Caenorhabditis elegans: one gene and its partners. The protein of the gene in region 3 purifies or fractionates together with the protein of the main gene of each other region. This does not show direct contact. Each region holds a gene or a part of one and is shown on either strand. Other genes may lie near its edges.

Evidence for each region. The genes of interacting proteins can lie anywhere in the genome.
Region 1: the proteins of zyg-11 (region 3) and cyb-1 purify together in Caenorhabditis elegans (affinity purification with western blotting, with the first as the bait; one study listed by BioGRID). This does not show direct contact.
Region 2: the proteins of zyg-11 (region 3) and cul-2 purify together in Caenorhabditis elegans (affinity purification with western blotting; 2 studies listed by BioGRID, with this or other methods). This does not show direct contact.

The regions. Positions count from the first base shown.
Region 1 is NC_003282.8:10,733,452-10,737,679, forward strand, and holds cyb-1 (G2/mitotic-specific cyclin-B1), read left to right. Parts: upstream 1-1,990; 5' UTR 1,991-2,004; coding exon 2,005-2,064; intron 2,065-2,106; coding exon 2,107-2,525; intron 2,526-2,604; coding exon 2,605-2,991; intron 2,992-3,037; coding exon 3,038-3,140; intron 3,141-3,184; coding exon 3,185-3,301; 3' UTR 3,302-3,722; downstream 3,723-4,228. Other genes in the region: orc-5 (Origin recognition complex subunit 5 C-terminal domain-containing protein), read right to left, coding at 34-103, 170-342, 388-724, 767-906, 984-1,127; grl-21 (Ground-like domain-containing protein), read left to right, coding at 4,042-4,228. UniProt on the Caenorhabditis elegans protein: Essential for the control of the cell cycle at the G2/M (mitosis) transition.
Region 2 is NC_003281.10:13,685,537-13,692,603, forward strand, and holds cul-2 (Cullin-2), read left to right. Parts: upstream 1-2,114; coding exon 2,115-2,143; intron 2,144-2,194; coding exon 2,195-2,338; intron 2,339-3,080; coding exon 3,081-3,141; intron 3,142-3,275; coding exon 3,276-3,415; intron 3,416-3,577; coding exon 3,578-3,683; intron 3,684-3,905; coding exon 3,906-5,579; intron 5,580-6,073; coding exon of another isoform or gene 6,074-6,079; coding exon 6,080-6,172; intron 6,173-6,432; coding exon 6,433-6,561; downstream 6,562-7,067. Other genes in the region: WD repeat-containing protein dyf-2, read right to left, coding at 87-221, 294-359, 752-840, 898-909. UniProt on the Caenorhabditis elegans protein: Core component of multiple cullin-RING-based CBC (Cul2-ElonginB-ElonginC) E3 ubiquitin-protein ligase complexes which mediate the ubiquitination and subsequent proteasomal degradation of target proteins.
Region 3 is NC_003280.10:8,015,769-8,021,391, forward strand, and holds zyg-11 (Early embryogenesis protein zyg-11), read left to right. Parts: upstream 1-1,911; 5' UTR 1,912-1,923; coding exon 1,924-2,020; intron 2,021-2,063; coding exon 2,064-2,300; intron 2,301-2,343; coding exon 2,344-2,964; intron 2,965-3,016; coding exon 3,017-3,311; intron 3,312-3,360; coding exon 3,361-3,990; intron 3,991-4,036; coding exon 4,037-4,375; intron 4,376-4,432; coding exon 4,433-4,613; 3' UTR 4,614-5,017; downstream 5,018-5,623. Other genes in the region: hda-2 (Putative histone deacetylase 2), read right to left, coding at 5,150-5,623.

The DNA of each region.
Region 1 (4,228 bases), on a different chromosome or scaffold from region 3:
AAATTATTATTTCTGGAATAAATTATGTGCAACCTTTACGAAAAATCGGCAGTCTGATTGATGAGGATTATTGCTGGCACAGTATGCGGCTATGAGAAGATATCTGAAATAAAAATTTACTGGAATTTCTGGAAGAACTACATATTTTCTGTTGAGTATTTTTAGATACCTCATGGCGAGCGGCATGGCATCAAAACTGTTCTCGTTCTCCTTGGCCAGATTCTCTCCGACAACATTCCCGAGCTTTTCTCCAGATGATCTATTGAGGCATTCTTTTGCCAGTGTAGAGTCGAATTTATCGCCGGTTCTCCGCTCATCATACATTAGCCACGCATCAGATATCTGGAATTGTAGTGATGGATTTAACATTGTTTTTAAAAAACTTACAATTGATAGAAGAATATTCGGTGACTTGCAGGCCATGAACAGTGACTGGCAAGCAACGTGAAGAAATTGCGCGTTGATTTTTGGATTTGCACGAGAAATAAGAACTTTGGTAGTTTCTACTGATGGTGCAGGTATGTGAAACTCTACAACTGGAAGATGGCTCAGATTAATGTGATATTGGTTCAAGCAGGATGGTGCACTCGTCACAAATCGAATCGTTATTTCTTGTATAGCTTTGTAAGAATCGAATAAGCATTGTAATGGAACAGGAGGATAGTCTGTTATCGCTTGTGCATTATCAAGAAAAATGACAATTTTTCTATTAGTTTCGTCTGGCCTGAAAATATTTAAAATTTAATTAACAAGAAAATACACTTACCATTGGACATATTTATACAGGTTATCGCAAAAATTCTCAGCTCTGTCACCTCTAGTCTTGAAACCTAAACTCGATGCCAGTGAATCGAATAACAATTTCAGCGATCCATCCGCATAGAGGAAGTCTCCAAGCACACAAACCTATAAAAATAGATTGTGAATTTTGAAATTGTTTGAAATTTTTAATTGTTTTGAAATTGAAGTTGTAAAACACGAACCCAATCGTTTTCAGGTTTTCTCAGAAGTTGACGAACAATTTCACTTCTTCCGCTTCCATCTTCTCCGAAAATGTGGACATGAGAAATAATTCGCGAGTTGTTAAATAAGAGCATTTTTAGACGTCTTATCTCACAATTTTCCATTTTGCTAAAAATAAAAAACTATGATATGGATAAAATGACTGATTTTTCAGCCTTGAAATAAAAACAAAAAAAACTTTCTTCCAGTAAAAACTGTTTTCAAGTTGGCGGGTATTCAATGGAGCAGGTTTACTTGGCTAAACTAAGCGCGATGCGAAATAACGGAGTGTCGTATTGCAGCGCGAACCTTGAAAATAAAATCATTTGCTCTTGAAACTTTGCGATTATTAAAGTTTTGATCGGATCTCCCTCAATTTTTCGGCGCCAAGAATTTATTTTTTGCAAAAACCTTCAATGGAACGATTATTTTCCAACGCAGGTTTCCCTATTTGAATCTTTGCCACATAGACCGGTTCATTTTATTCATTATTCGATTCTTGAACAAAAACAATCTTTTTTTCTTTGGCTTATCGTTATCAAATACCTAACTTTGGAGCTTTATTAATATTCTAGGTTCATTTGTAATTCATCTTTTAACGTCTGTTCTTCATTCATCCTAGGTGACATATTTAATCGATATTACCCTTCGCGATTCCCCCCTCCTACCACCAAGCACCATCTTGGTGTGGGGGAGTTGCGCTCCGTTGGACAATCGCTGCACGCGGAACATTCGAATCCCATTTGTCGATATTCTTGTATTTAGTGCAAACAATTCTTAATAGGCTCCTCACGTGACCTTAACATGTTCGCCGTGTAGAAACTATTTACACGTTGTGTTCTATTTAGATAAAATCATAACCTTTCTGTCAGATTTTGTAAAACGTCCAGTATTTCTCAACTTACCAATTTTCTACTAGCAATCAAAGGTTCTTTCTCACTTTTTATTTTATTATCTCTTGGAACTTGCAAACAATCGTTTATTGCAGCGAAAGGCCTCAATATGCTAAGAGCCACCAACAACAGACGAACATCGAATAATGTGGAAAAGGATAGCCTCCAGGTACAAGGTGTTTACAAACTAAAAACTATAATTATCATTCAGATGGCTAAGCACGGAAACGGACCATTGAAGCCCGTCAATGCGCAAGGTCTTCAGACGAAAAGAGAAGCTCGAGAGATTCTTGCACTCAAGCCATCCAATCCAGCTCCAGTCGAAACTGCGCAAAAGTCACAGAGAATCAACCTCCAGGATGCTGAGACTAAATGTCTTGCTATGGCCGACGACATATACAAGTATCTCGTTCATCACGAGAAAAAGTATCTTCTTGAGGAGTGCTTCATGGAGGGAGGAGAGCCCACTCCCAAGATGCGTCGCATTCTCGTCGATTGGCTTGTCCAAGTTCATGTTCGATTCCATCTCACACCTGAGACACTTCACTTGACTGTCTTCATTCTGGATCGCATGCTTCAGAAGAAGGTCACCTCCAAGGCGGATCTTCAGCTTCTTGGAATTTCAGCTATGTGAGAGTTTTTATTCAATTTTAAAACGTAACATATAGGGATTACTAATTGTGTATCCTTTAAAAATGTTTTGTTTCAGGTTCGTTGCCTCCAAGTTCGAAGAGGTTTACCTCCCAGACATCCACGACTACGAGTTCATCACTGAGAACACATACAGCAAGAAGCAGATCTTGGCAATGGAGCAAACAATCCTTAACTCGTTGAACTTTGACTTGTCCTGCCCATCTTCGCTTGTCTTCCTCCGCTGTCTCTCAAGAATTCTCTCCGAAAACGATGCCAGCCCAATCGATAATCAAGCTTTCTGTTATACTTACAATATCTCCAAGTGTCTCGGAGAGCTCGCACTGCTCGATTCGGTTATGGCCTCGACCCCAAGGTCCCACATTGCTTCTGCTTCGATGATCATCGCTCTTGAAGTTCATCCTGTTGACGGAATCGAGGCGGAGAATGCTGTATCGGTCATTTGGTACATTTTAAAGCTTATATTTTTATTTTAATATCAACATTTTTAGCAAACAGCTCGGAGCCTCTAAGAAAGTCATTGAGGATGCTGTCGCTTTGCTCGCCGAAGTCTCGTATAAGAACTTCAAACAGGGGAAGCTTGTCGCTATTAAGGTATTGAATCATCGAAGTATTCCAATAAACATAATTATTTGCAGAATAAGTATCAATCAAGCAAGCTTGCACAAGTTTCCAACTTGATGACCGACGACGTACTCGAGAAAATCAATCGGATGGGCCAGAATGCAAAAGTGGACGCATCAGAAATGGAATGAGCACTTCGATCCGAAATAAACATTTTGTACCATTCAGTCTTTCTTGATTCTTATGTTTCTTCCTTCATTGCTTTTCTTTTCGGCTCCTTTCCATTTTTTAACTCCTCCAGTCGTTTCCACGTCAATCTGGTCACACCCGTACATTGATTGTAAATTGGTGAACATTCGTTGAGCGACCATACACCACCTCCCATATTATTCAATTTGTCCATTTTGAAATTTAAAATTTCACTAAAAATTTTTATCACAACTTTTCGCGCCCTCTTTTGTATCGATCTCGTATTTAATTATTGAAACCACACTGCTGTAAGACTCACCGTCCTCATCTCTGTTGTTGTAACTAGAAGGACCAAAAACTTTCTGATGAAACCTATGTGCTATTAAATTTTGTTAAATGGAATTACTATAAATCATGTACTAAATAAGTGATGGAGTAGTCTGAAGGTTCTAGGGGGTCTCCTGCGCAATGACGCGACGAACTTAAACCAGTCAACAAGCATAAAAACAAGTAGGCTCCACCCACTTTAACCTTGAATTCTGTGTGCCGAACCCGGGGTCAAGTGGCTTTTCGGCCAATTACTCATCGGTTTGTTACAGCACTGGCGGTCACTTCTCGCCGAATTTTCTCAAAATGTGTAATAATGAAGCTGCAATTTCTCTGCGTATCAATCTCTAACGCTCTGCTGTAATGACTACAAAAGTGACCATCGAAAACGAGAATTTCATACATTCCACTCGAAATGGTTCATTCATCAGTTCTAATTGTTCTTTCACTGACTGCTTCTTCATCTGCATTCCTTCTAGAAGGACTCGGTTTAGGATTAGGTCCACAAAGACCTCAACAATGCTGCTGTCCACCACCTCCACCACCTCCACCATGCGGAGGCGGATATGAAGCTCCACCTCCACCACCACCACCATCATATG
Region 2 (7,067 bases), on a different chromosome or scaffold from region 3:
AAAACTCCAAAAAATCTCACAGTTTCAAAATTTTGAAATAATATTTTGTAACCGTATTTAGAAAATGCCCCCGTTTTTCAACTCACTTTGAAGAGGTCGCTCCACTCTCAACAGTATCTGTATTCCGCGAGTTCACATCCCATAGATAAATAGTCCCGGTATTTGCTACGGCAATCGCTAGTACATCACCTTCCTTATCCCAAGCTATGTCGATAAGTTTTCTGGAAGTTGAAAAAAGTGTAAATCACGAAAATCTTCTTTTTTCTTTACATTTCAAAAAACTCTGAACTCACCCAGTTGGATTCAACGCGTCAATAACATTTCCTTTCTTATCGTAATAGATGACCGTGTTATTGGCGCTGAAAAGTATAATTTATTGCTTGGAAAAGCTCAGCTTTAAAATGCATTTAAAAAGCTTCAAATTCAGAAATTCCAGAACCGATAATAATAAATTGAGAAATAATGATGAAAATTCAAATTTTCAAAAATCTGAACAATCAGCGATTGGCTCCACCCATTTTCAAACCAATCAAGGTCTTTGCAAACGCATTGGTCATGAAGCTCCCATTTTGGAAAAAAAATCAAACAGGACAATTAGCCAAAATTGAAAATCCTACTTCTAAAAGTTGGCTTTAAATTCTTTCTCGATTTTTTTCGTCTTTTTTGGAGTTTTTGAATTTTGAATATTTTAAAGAAAAATCTTTAAAAAAGATACTGTTAAAAATAAGAATTAAACAAAAAATAAACAAACCATGCAACAGCTACAGTATGCCCATTTGGTCTCCATCGATGAATAATCGGTCCACTTCCGTGCTCTTCTTCGCCTCTTCGATATTGAAGCTGAGCAGAAACACATTTAAATACTTCCTGATTTTTTGTGAGAGTACACGGAATTACCTTTAATGACATTTATATGAATGAAGATCTCCGTTGTTTTCGACGTTTGCCACTGCTCCCCTATGATTTGTCACTTATGTCACGAGCCTACAAATAATGGTTACAAAAAATGAAGTACAAATCATTGAGCTACCCGAGCCTTTGGGGAGTTGTTGCCTTGGTAACCGGGCTACACAGTGTGTGTTGAGCACGCAAATTGAGGAAAGAACAGGGGAAGTGGAAGAGGGGATTTGATCATTCCCGGTTTGGGAATAATGACAATTAGTAGAATTTTCTGGATTCTCGAGAAAAAAAAACAAACCGCAATTTCATCTTTTTATGTGAATATCGAACAAAAATATTTGATAAAATTATTCATTTACACATCTGGGGCAAATACATTTGTAATGGGAGAGCATTACGGGTACACTAAATTTTGAGAAGTATCTCATAGCGAAAACTACAGTAGTTTTTTTAATTAGTACTGTAGCACTGCTCCGATTTTATTTTGGTTTTTGGCCATTTATTCCAAGTTTAGCCAAAAAATGCACAAAAATGCCAAAAGGGTATTCTTTTTTTTAATTTTTCAATATTAAAATTTTTAGAGAAAACTTTATAATCAAATTCCAAAACGACTCCACCTTTAATAACTTCAAATATTAATTTAATTTTAAATTTTAGACTTCAGAAAATTATTCTTAATTTTTGTTCTAAACAGATTTCCTTTTTAAAATCCTCCTTTTCTCACATGTCACATTTTTCATTGTCATTGCCAACTTCTAACATATGACGTTCAATATATTTTTAACGTTTGTTATCTCTTTTCAATATATCTTCTCTAAAAATCAAATTTCAGCTTCTCCACCATATCCCCGAAAATCTTCAGTGTAACCTCCACAGGAAACCGGTCCGAGGTTCACCGTCCACAGGCAAAACTGGCGTCGAATACACAGCCGACATCGAATCGTACGACACTTGGCCGCCGTAAGGCAATTTCTGACGACAATTTTCCCGTCGTTGAGCCGATATTGAAGAAAATGTGAGTGCGTCTGCTGCGCATCGATCGATATTATTTGGTTTATGACCCCTGGTTTCTCATTTTTCGGTTTGAATATTAAATAATTGAACGAATTAAAAAAAGAAAGAATAATTAAAATCACGTGATTCTTTTTATCAATTAAATTTTCGTGTTTAGTTTTTTAATCCGCATTTCAAAAATTTTCGCTTTTTCCGTAAAAATGGCAAGTTCCACAAAAGTTTCCTTACGGTACCCGTTATTTTTTTTTGAAAATTTCGCACAAATTGTCATCATTTTCAGTCGTCCACCTCGTCCACAGGTTATGTACTCACTGAAGCCAAAAGTTGTGGAATTTGACAAAGTATGGGTGCAGTTGAGACCATCTATCATTGATATCATCAATTTGCGGCCGATCACCAATGTTCAGTGGCATCACAAGTTTAGGTAAGTTTTGAAGGAAAAGTTTGATTTTTTCCAGTGATAGAAATTTCAGAAAGTATCATTTCTGTCATTCAACAGATTTTTCGAATTTTTAATTTGAAAAAAAAGATTTTTTGGGATTTTTTGTTCAAAAATGTCTTGATTTTTGGCCAATATCTAAAGTTTTTGTGCAAAAACTATTTATATATAAGGCAAAAATTACCTTTTTGTTATTAATCCGATTTTGTAAAAATGTTATGTTTTAAAAAATCAATTTTTGAAGTTATTTTCAGCAATCGCGTTGTTTGTAAGCAACAATCCTAAATTCGATTTTTGACAGAGAAAAAAAGTTTTTCGAGGATTTTGTCCACAAAATCCGAAAATTTTTTGACAAAACTATTTTTTTTTATTTCACGTGTATAATTCACTGAAAAACTCAATCATTATTCCAAGAATTGTAAAAAATTGCTCCAAAACACTAACATTCACTTATTTTCCGATTAATTCAGGATTATCCGAAAAATCGATTTAAAAAAACATTGTTGCAAAATCGGATTGATGATCTTATAACCTCTTAAACATACTTTTTAAAACCATTTTGGTAGTATTTTTTGAACAAAATCCATTTCTGGGAAAAAAACATGAGAATTTTTGAAAAAAAAAAAGATTTTTGTACTTTCCAAAGAAAAATGTCAAGAATCACAACTTTACGATACGAAAAGCTGGATTTTTATAAATTTTTAATTTTTTTAAATATTGTTTTCAGTGACGTCTACGACATTTGTGTATCGATACCGACTCCATTGAGCGAGCGATTGTATAATGAGGTATCTCGAATTTGACGTTTTCGACGAAAACCGAAAAAAAAAATTAAAATTCTACTTTTTTCTTCGGATTCTACTATAAAAAAGGATTTTCTAGCGAATTTGGTGATGAGACTACAAGATTTCCATTTTTACAGGTGAAGGCTTGCATTCAAGAGCATGTTCGACAAAAGCGTCAAGATATCGTCGATGTTGATCCGGATCTGTTGCTTCAGGAATATCACAAAATGTGGAGAGTTTTCCATGAGGGAGCCATCTTTATTCACCGTCTCTTTGGGTTCGTGTGAAATTTCTTCGGAATTCTTTTTAAAATTCAAACAATGATCTGAAAATGCTCCAAAATGCATTTTTGTGAAACGTTTTCACTGCGTCGTTGTAGAAGAAAAAGAATTGAAAAATACCCAAAAAAAAGAGAATTAAAAAAAAACATTATTTACAGATACCTGAACAAACAATTCGTAAAACAGAAGCGATGCACCGATTTGGACAATTTCGCGCAGTACGCCGCTTTTCTGCAGATTCCAGACGTCAAGGAGATCGGATGTGTGAGTTTGCGACAAAAAAATTGCGCCAGGTTTTTAGAAATTTCTTTATGTTTTCGACGAAAAAGTGGGTGGAAATAAAATCCTAGGCCACGGAGATGACTTCCGTGGCCGATGATTATCAGTTAAGACCACAGTGCGCTTTTTCAAAATTTTGTGTTCCTGGAAAATAACTATTAAATAATTGAGAAGTTTTGAACCAAAAAAACAAATCGAAATTTTCAGCTCGCACTAGAAATCTGGAAAGAAGACCTCGTGAAGACCATTCTCCCGCAGCTCGTCAAACTTCTGCTCATCGCGATTGACAATGATCGGAAAGGAAACTTCCCGCATATCGCCAATGAAGTCTCCGGCGTCATTAACAGCTTCGTTAAGATGGAGGAGACGGATTTCGACGTTGTACCGGCAGAAGGAGCACGCTATAAGGCTCGCGAGTCGACAACGGCGTTCTATCAGGAGAGCTTTGAGAAACCGCTTCTTACGGATACGGAACAGTACTATTCGGCGCTCGCACAAAAAATGCTCACCGACCTCAGCTGCAGTGAGTACATGGAACAGGTTATAGTGCTCCTCGAACAAGAAGAGATGCGTGCGAAGAAGTATCTCCACGAATCGTCGGTGGAGAAAGTTATCACGTTGTGCCAGAAAGTTATGATAAAAGCTCACAAGGATAAACTTCACGCAGTGTGCCATGATCTCATTACTAATGAGGAGAACAAGGACCTCCGCAACATGTACAGACTGTTGAAGCCCATTCAAGCGGGACTCTCGGTAATGGTTAAGGAGTTCGAGGAATATGTGAAGAAGAAGGGGCTCGAGGCGGTGTCGAGGCTCACCGGCGAGAATGTACCCCAGCAATTTGTGGAGAATGTGTTACGGGTGTATAACAAGTTCAATGATATGAAGACTGCTGTGTTCATGGACGATGGCGAGTTCTCTAGTGGACTCGACAAGGCGTTGCAGGGAGTCGTGAACTCGAAGGAGCCAGGACAGTCGGTGCCGAAGGCCAGTGAGCGGTTGGCGAGATATACGGATGGGTTGCTCAAAAAGTCCACGAAAGGACTATCGGAGACGGATTTGGAGGCGAAACTCGACAGTGCAATTGTGATTTTCCGCTATATAGAGGATAAGGATATATTCCAGAAGTTCTACTCGAAAATGCTCGCAAATCGGCTTATAGCAAGCACATCGATATCGATGGACGCCGAGGAGCTGATGATTAACAAGTTGAAACAGGCGTGTGGTTATGAATTCACCAGTAAACTGTCACGAATGTTCACCGATATCGGGCTTAGCCAGGAGCTATCGAACAACTTTGATAAGCACATTGCGGACATTAAAACTGTGCAGCCCGACGTGAAGTTTGTGCCGACACAGACGATGATTCTGCAGGCAGGTAGCTGGCCGCTCAACGCTCCACAGCTCTCTACGAATTCGAATAATCAGACCGCACAAGACGTGGCCAACTTCCATCTGCCACGTATCCTGCAGCCTGTGATTCAGGAGTTTGAGAAGTTCTACACTGGGAAGCACAACGGGCGAAAACTGACATGGCTTTTCAATATGTCACAGGGAGATGTCAGGCTTACATACCTCGATAAGCAGTATGTCGCACAGATGTATGTCTATCAGATGGCAGCGCTGCTTTGCTTTGAACGTCGCGATGCTATCCTCGTTAAGGACATCGGAGAGGAGATTGGTGTGAGCGGTGACTATCTGCTAAAGACGATTCGAACGATTTTGGACGTTACCCTGCTGACGTGTGATGATCAGAATCTAACGGCCGACTCGTTGGTTCGTCTGAACATGTCGATGACGTCGAAACGGATGAAGTTCCGGCTTCAGGCGCCACAAGTGAATAAGGCTGTCGAGAAGGAGCAGGAGGCCGTCGCGAATACTGTAGGGTTTTCAGTTTGTTTTTCATTGGCGAGGGCCTCAAGTTATGACTTTTTGAGTTCAAGCACTAAAAATCTGTATTTTATTTAGTCCTAGACTTTAAAAATTTTTAAACGATCTCAAAAACCAAGTTTTAAAATGAGACACCTTGAAAAATTCTCAGCATTTTTATGACGGTGGAAATTAAAACAAGCCAAGCTCAACTAAAATCTCAAATGCTGAAAAATCTTTAATAAAGAGTTTAGGTGTTTTTTCGAAATTTTAAACCTTCGTAAAATTTTTTTAAATGTCTCACTATGAAATTTGGTCTTTTGTGGAAACTTTGAGTCAATTCAATCAATTAAACAATTTATCTGCTCCCTTTTTGAGCCAATGAGCCTAAATCAAAGCTATAAACTGTGGCCTAGAATTCTGAGAGACTAGACGTATTTAGTTAGGCCCCGCCTCGATGCAGCTAGATTATCCAAACACGTGTGCCTCGCAATCGTCAATATTAGTTCCAGGTTTCACAAGACCGAAAGTACTATATGGAGTGCGCAATTGTCAGAATTATGAAGACCAGGAAGGTTCTGAAACACAATGCACTTGTCACTGAGGTTTGTTAGATTTTTGTTGTTGGTCAAAACCCTGTAAAACGAGATATTCAACCGACTGAAAATGCTTTACAAAAATATTTTTGTTTGAATTTTGAACCAAGAAACTGAAAATCAAAAAGTGGATTTTCCTCCAAAAAAGAAAAACAAACAATTTTAGAAACAGTTTTTGGTCCGGAACCCCCCAAAAAAAAGCGAAAAAAATCTTTTTGCAAAATGTGCTATTCCACATCAAAAATGCGGAAAACAACATTTTCTTGCAGATAATGGACCAAACGAAAGGCCGCTTCTCGCCCGACGTACCATTCATCAAAAAGAGCATTGAGGACCTTATCGAGAAAATGTATATTCAGCGAACCGATCAAAATGACGAGTATCAATATTTGGCCTAATTCTCTCCCCCTATTTGCGTGTTTTTTCCCTGAGAGGCAAAAAACTAAAATTTAAAATTTACACTGTGTAAATGACTCTGAAACATGCCATTCAAAATCCCCACTATAATTTTATTTTTCAAGATTTTCTAACAATGATTGCTTTTTTTCCAAATTGAACTGTACTGAAAGTAAATCCCCTCGCCCCTCATCTTACATATTTTATATCATTTTTTGCTGGAGCTGCGCAACGGGGAATCATCAAACTGTTTATTGGAATACCTATTTTTATACTTTTGGAGCCCTCAAAAACTGAAAATCGCGGGAAATTCTCTGTTACTCCCGACAAACGGCTATTTGCCTATAAAACCAACCAGTCCGTAGCCTCTCCTTGAAAATGTATATGTACTATATTTGTCTTTTTTTTGTGTTCTATCCTCCCTCCTCAAGCAACTATTTTTTCTCCGGAATCTCTATGATTACGATAAAGTAGACAATTATCCTTCCCAAAATTCCAATTTTGTTTC
Region 3 (5,623 bases):
TCTCGAGAACCTTCTTTTTCTTTATTTCTTCCTTTTTTCTTCAAAAAATCAGTGTCAACAAGCTAGACCAGCTGACTTCTCAACTCTTCGGTCATTGCTCTTTTCGTGTTCATTTTGTTACACTTGTACTGCGTGCACATATGAAGATGAATTGGCAACGAATTGTTTGCAAAAGAAGTGATCGGAAGCTTAACTTTTCAGTGTGTGGAGCAGTACAAATACCATGTAGCTTTGTTTTAACTTGTAAGAGAAAAAAAGAGATGAGTAGGCTGGTTATTTCCAATGATTTTGAGATATTTCATGCGAAAAAGTTTACTTTCATCGATCTCACGAAAAACTTTGCACAACTCTCCTGATCTGCAACCAGAAAATTCGTTGTCCTTTCTGTTTTCTTTCTAAATTTTTTTTCTATTTTCGCTTGCCGTCATTATTATTATCCAACATTCGAGAGTATTTAGAGAAAATGAGAGAAAAAATGTGTGCTTTCTTTACAATTGACAGGAGAGAGAGACGTCGGGGAAACCCTCTTCTTCTGATTCTCACCCATCCCGTTATCATGATCACATGACACTTCCCTCCACTCCGGGGTTCCCCGTACTGAATGTAATCAGTTGGTTGGTCGACTACCCAGTCGACGGTGAAAACTTCACGCGAGCATCGCAATTTTCATTTATTTTTTCTTAACTTTTCTCGGTATTAACGCATTTTTTTCTTTTGTACGATACGATGCGACATGATTCAAGGTTGCCTCGATTGATTTTACTGAATTCAGAAGTTCAACCTGACGATTAGTAATTTTATTTATTTTATTCATCGGAAATACGATTAAATACTTAAAGCATTCTCAATATAATTTTATTGACCGTTGACACTCACATGTGAGTTGAGTTGATTTTTAGAAAAGAGACGTAATGGGAAAAAACCACGTGTAGTGTTATCAGCCATTCTCGAATGTCGTTGAAATTGTGCAATACCCGGACAACCACAATCCAGCGAACAAATTGATAATGATAGTTTGAAAAATTGTGTCAACTTATTCAAATTTGCAACAATGTTTAAAAGTGCGTAGATCATGTCTGCGTCTCATCGGGAATGTTGACCGCCTGATGTGCGTGCGCATTCGAAACAATTATCATCGACGTTTTCGAATTATTTTCCTCTCGTCTTCTCGGCATGCGTTTGCGTGCAATCATACCGAAGAAACGGTATAGTATACTGTTCAATCAGTTAGTCACATGTAATAGTTGAAAGGGGTTCCCCATAATGACATGTGATCTTTTCTTCTTTTTCCTTTTCTTCGTACTGTTCTCATGACGTAATGTTCTCTTGATTGAAAAAGAAGTCGTTGTTGAAGGAGAATTGAAAGAGATGCAGAAAAACAAATTATCGATAAATTTTCTGTTGCTATTCAATAAGATTTTTCAACAGTAAGGATGTAGTTTGTAACATACGAATATTAACATATCTTTGCACCCCGTATTAAATCTAATTGGAATTAATTTTTTATGTATCAGCAAAAGATGAAATTTTCGACCGTCTAATAAAAAAATCATTACTTTTATTTTAATATTACTTGTTGCTTAAAAATGCATTTTCGCTCCAATGACATGGCCGAGGACCGTTTAAGGCCGACGTTAATATGCCCATCGTCCAGTGTCCCATACTCTTTTCTACCTCTCCTTTTTCTCTTACTTTCATTTTCTTTGTGTAAGTGTCTGGAACCAGTCTGCTCCTTCTTTCTCATCTATTTTCACCCTCTCACTTTACTATTTGTTCTCATTTTCTATAAATTGCAACCTACATAGTAACTCATAGAGAGTCCCACTAAATATTTATTTAGCCCTCATTCATCAGGCACTTCGATCTCTCTTTACTTTTCACTAATAAAGTTAATTTTACTTTTAATTTCAGATTTCATCTGATATGGATCACAATGCAGCTCTGACGACATGCAGTACCTCGGCCATTCCGAGACTTGCGAGATTGGCGACTGAACGAATTGCTGAGCTCATCGAAAATGGTAAATTTATTGATTTCGGCATTTATGGAAATTAAAGTTTCAGATGCTCTGCCAGAGTTTGATCACAAGGTAATCGCCTCATGCAGCAACGATATTTTTGAAGTTCTTCGCCAAAAAAAGAAACTCAATCATCAAACTTTGCAAACGATGTGCAGTACCTCACGATTCCAAATCAATAAAATTGATTTGATGGGCAACAAGGTTGAGTTGCAAGATTTGGAGCTTTGTTCGAACCAGAACCTGGTTTCATTCCGACTTGGCGATATTGATTACTTTCCAAGTAAGCAGTTTTTGTTAAAACATTTTAATACATTTTTTTTCAGATACGAACAAAATTCAAGTGGCTGACGTGCTTGATACGGCACTCAACCGAACTTCACGACAACAGCTTCGACATCTTGATCTGAGTGGACGACACAGAATCACTTCAAATTGGCCGACGTATGTAGCGAGAAAACTTCCTCGTCTGGAAAGTCTTGCTTTCGCTAACAGAAGCACTGCCAACGAAACTTTGTCACAAATTGGAGCGAGTTTGTTGAATCTTCGGTTCCTGGACATTTCGAGCACCTGTGTCACGGATATTTCTTGCATTTCAAGTCTTCGAAATCTCGAAGTCCTCATTATGTACAACCTGAACATTTTGAAAGGGGATGTCACAGAGACATTGTCTAATTTGACAAAATTGCGTGTATTAGACATTTCAAGAAAAGTCAACACAGACTATTTACAAGAAACGTCACAGGATGCTCATCTCGATTTGGCTCTTGGTATCTACAACAGATCTGTGGAAGCAATTGAGAGCGGGACAGCTACGCCTTGGGCGGAGCTAAGAGCAATTGATATGTCTGGTTTGAGCATTGTTCAATTTGGTACCGATCGAGCACTGGCATTTGTTGAGAAGATTATTGAGGCGCATCCGAAATTAGAGCAAATTAGCTTACTTGGTTAGTAATAGTTTTATTCTGGAAATGTAGTGTTTTAATTCTGAAATTACAGCAACTCCACTCGACTCGTCACTCATTGAGATTCCAAACAGAAATTTGCAAGTGATCAACACAGTCTCGAGAAGATCTATCATTTTTGCATTGTCCCATTATGCAAATCTGGACAGGCCTGCATTCATCACTCATGCTCTCCATTCTGTGTATTACCAGTTACAGTCCGGCTACGACAAGTTTTCACAGGAGGAGTTGAAAGAGTGTTTACGGCTTGTGTGTATCTCGATGCAGCAGGGGCTCAACACTTTGCCAGTGCAGATTGCGGGTAGTGCTTGTCTCTATCATCTTTGCAAGTACGTATTATTATTTTATAAATGTATTTTCCATGATGGAAACTTTCAGAATGAAGCGAATCAAGAGATTATCAGTAAAAGAAGTCAACAATTGCATTGAACGGTCACTTGACGCAGCAGAGCAGTATAGAAGCATGACGCAGCTGCAGAAGAACGTCTGGCTTACAATTTGTAATGATTATCTTCTTCATTTGGATGAAATTGATTTCTACCGTACCTGCAAAGTTGCTCTCGACACGATGCTTTTGAATCGTGATGCCAGCGTTGAGAGAATGACTATTGCAATTGTGTCGATTGTGACTCCAAAGATGCGACCATCAGAAGCAAAGATTCTAACAACTGAAACCAAATATGTATACCATCTTGTCAAAATCATGAATGATTATCTGGAGGCATATACTCGTGAACATCGAGTTGGACACGAACGAGACAATGAAAATGCACTGTATACTCTGAAGTTCACCCTGAGTGCACTCTGGAATCTAACAGACGAATGCCCGGCTACATGCAAAGCATTTTTGGATGCTGGAGGTGTTCAGATTGCGTTCAGAATTCTCAAAGCTTTTGATTATCATGGAAATGTGCAGACGAAGGTTCTTGGCATCCTCAACAACTTGGCCGAAGTGGAAGAATTGCATTTGGGACAGCTTTGCAAAAACGAGTATATTTCTGTTCTTATGTATGTTTTTTAATTCGTTGAATTCAATTTAACCAATTTTTTTCAGTTCTTGTCTTGACGGATCATTCAACGAAGTAGATTCGAAAGGACGGTATCGTGAAGTTGAACGATCTTATTTCGCTGCTGGAATTCTCGCTAATCTTCTGACCAACACTGATGGTTGGGAGAGTGAAAATCAACGTGACGAAGCTTGCGAAAAGCTCTTGGAGCTTATTGAGCAGTATCCCACACTTCCATCGGCAATGGTCTCCTACAAATCTTTCATTCCATTCAGTCGTATTGTTAGAGAGTCAAATTCGAATGGGGCCATCATGTGGTGTTTGTGGGGAGTTCATCACGTTCTTCAACATCGCGAGAAGAACAAAGCGCCTACGTATGAGAAAGGGTACGTTTTTGATTTACTTTTTTCTTAATTTCAAAAATCATTTCAAAACATTTTCAGATACATCGAAATGTTTATGGATTCCGGGCTTTCTCCAATCGTCGAGGATATGTCCCATGGACACTCGAAACACATTCACAATCTGGATATTCGTGTGGTTCATCTCGCACGAGAAATCATTGACATTGTCTCATGCCATTCACTATCTTCCAGCCCAGTTCGATTAGTCCGTCGAGTTTAGTCATTTTTTTGTTTATTTTTTTTATTATTATTTTTGTTTAGCTTTCCCATTTTCAAAGTCCCCATCTACAGGTATATCAAATTGAAACAAGTTATATTTATACGGGTTGATATTTTTATCCGTTTCACCCATAGCAATTAGATTGCATTAAAAACTAAATTAGATGTTTGGTTTCACTATTTTTCACTTCTCCCTGTAATATGTTGAACTGTGAATGTGATTACTTCTGTGGATATTTCATCGGTTGTTTCCATTTCTTTTTCTGTACCCATCCCTACTCACAAATTTGCTCGTCCCACTTTCTTTCGCGGGTATTTTTTCGGGAGTACCATTTCCTCCTTTATGTTTGAAATAGTTGTATATTTTCAGATTCTATTGTGAATGAAAACGTTGAAGCTCTGAAATTTGGTTTATTACTTGAGAAATTTAGAGATCATGCAACAGAAAACAATATAAAATCGGAAATACTGAAAACCAACACAGAAAAGATTTTTGACAAATTCATCACAGTGTTTAATCATTAATTACATGGAAAGTTACGGAATTCCGGGAATATTGAGATCTTTTCGTCTGTCGCGATCTTCATATTTTGCTTCTTCAATAACATCCGAGTGACTTCTCGGTGGAGCCAATCCAGACCTGTCATATCCCCAGTACTGACCAATCCGACGAGGATCTTGACCCGGTGGAAATGATGGAGGTTTTGAGTCTTCTTCTACAAAGCATTCTTCTTCCATTTTCTCTGATACTTTTCCAACTTCATATTCAATTGAAGATTTTGATGATTTTTGTAGTCGTTCATTTTCTTCGATTTGCTCAATTTCGTCGAGCCTGATTCCAACAATATTTTGCATTTGAACTGATGGTGCTCCACGAATCATTCTCAAACATGCCAGCGTTTCTTTTTCAATAGAAGCCAAATATGCCGCAGAATTAGCATCATTCATTTTTGGAACCAAATTTGGGCGAAGAAGTCGTGGAGTGAAATAGTGCGAGTATAATGATGTTCC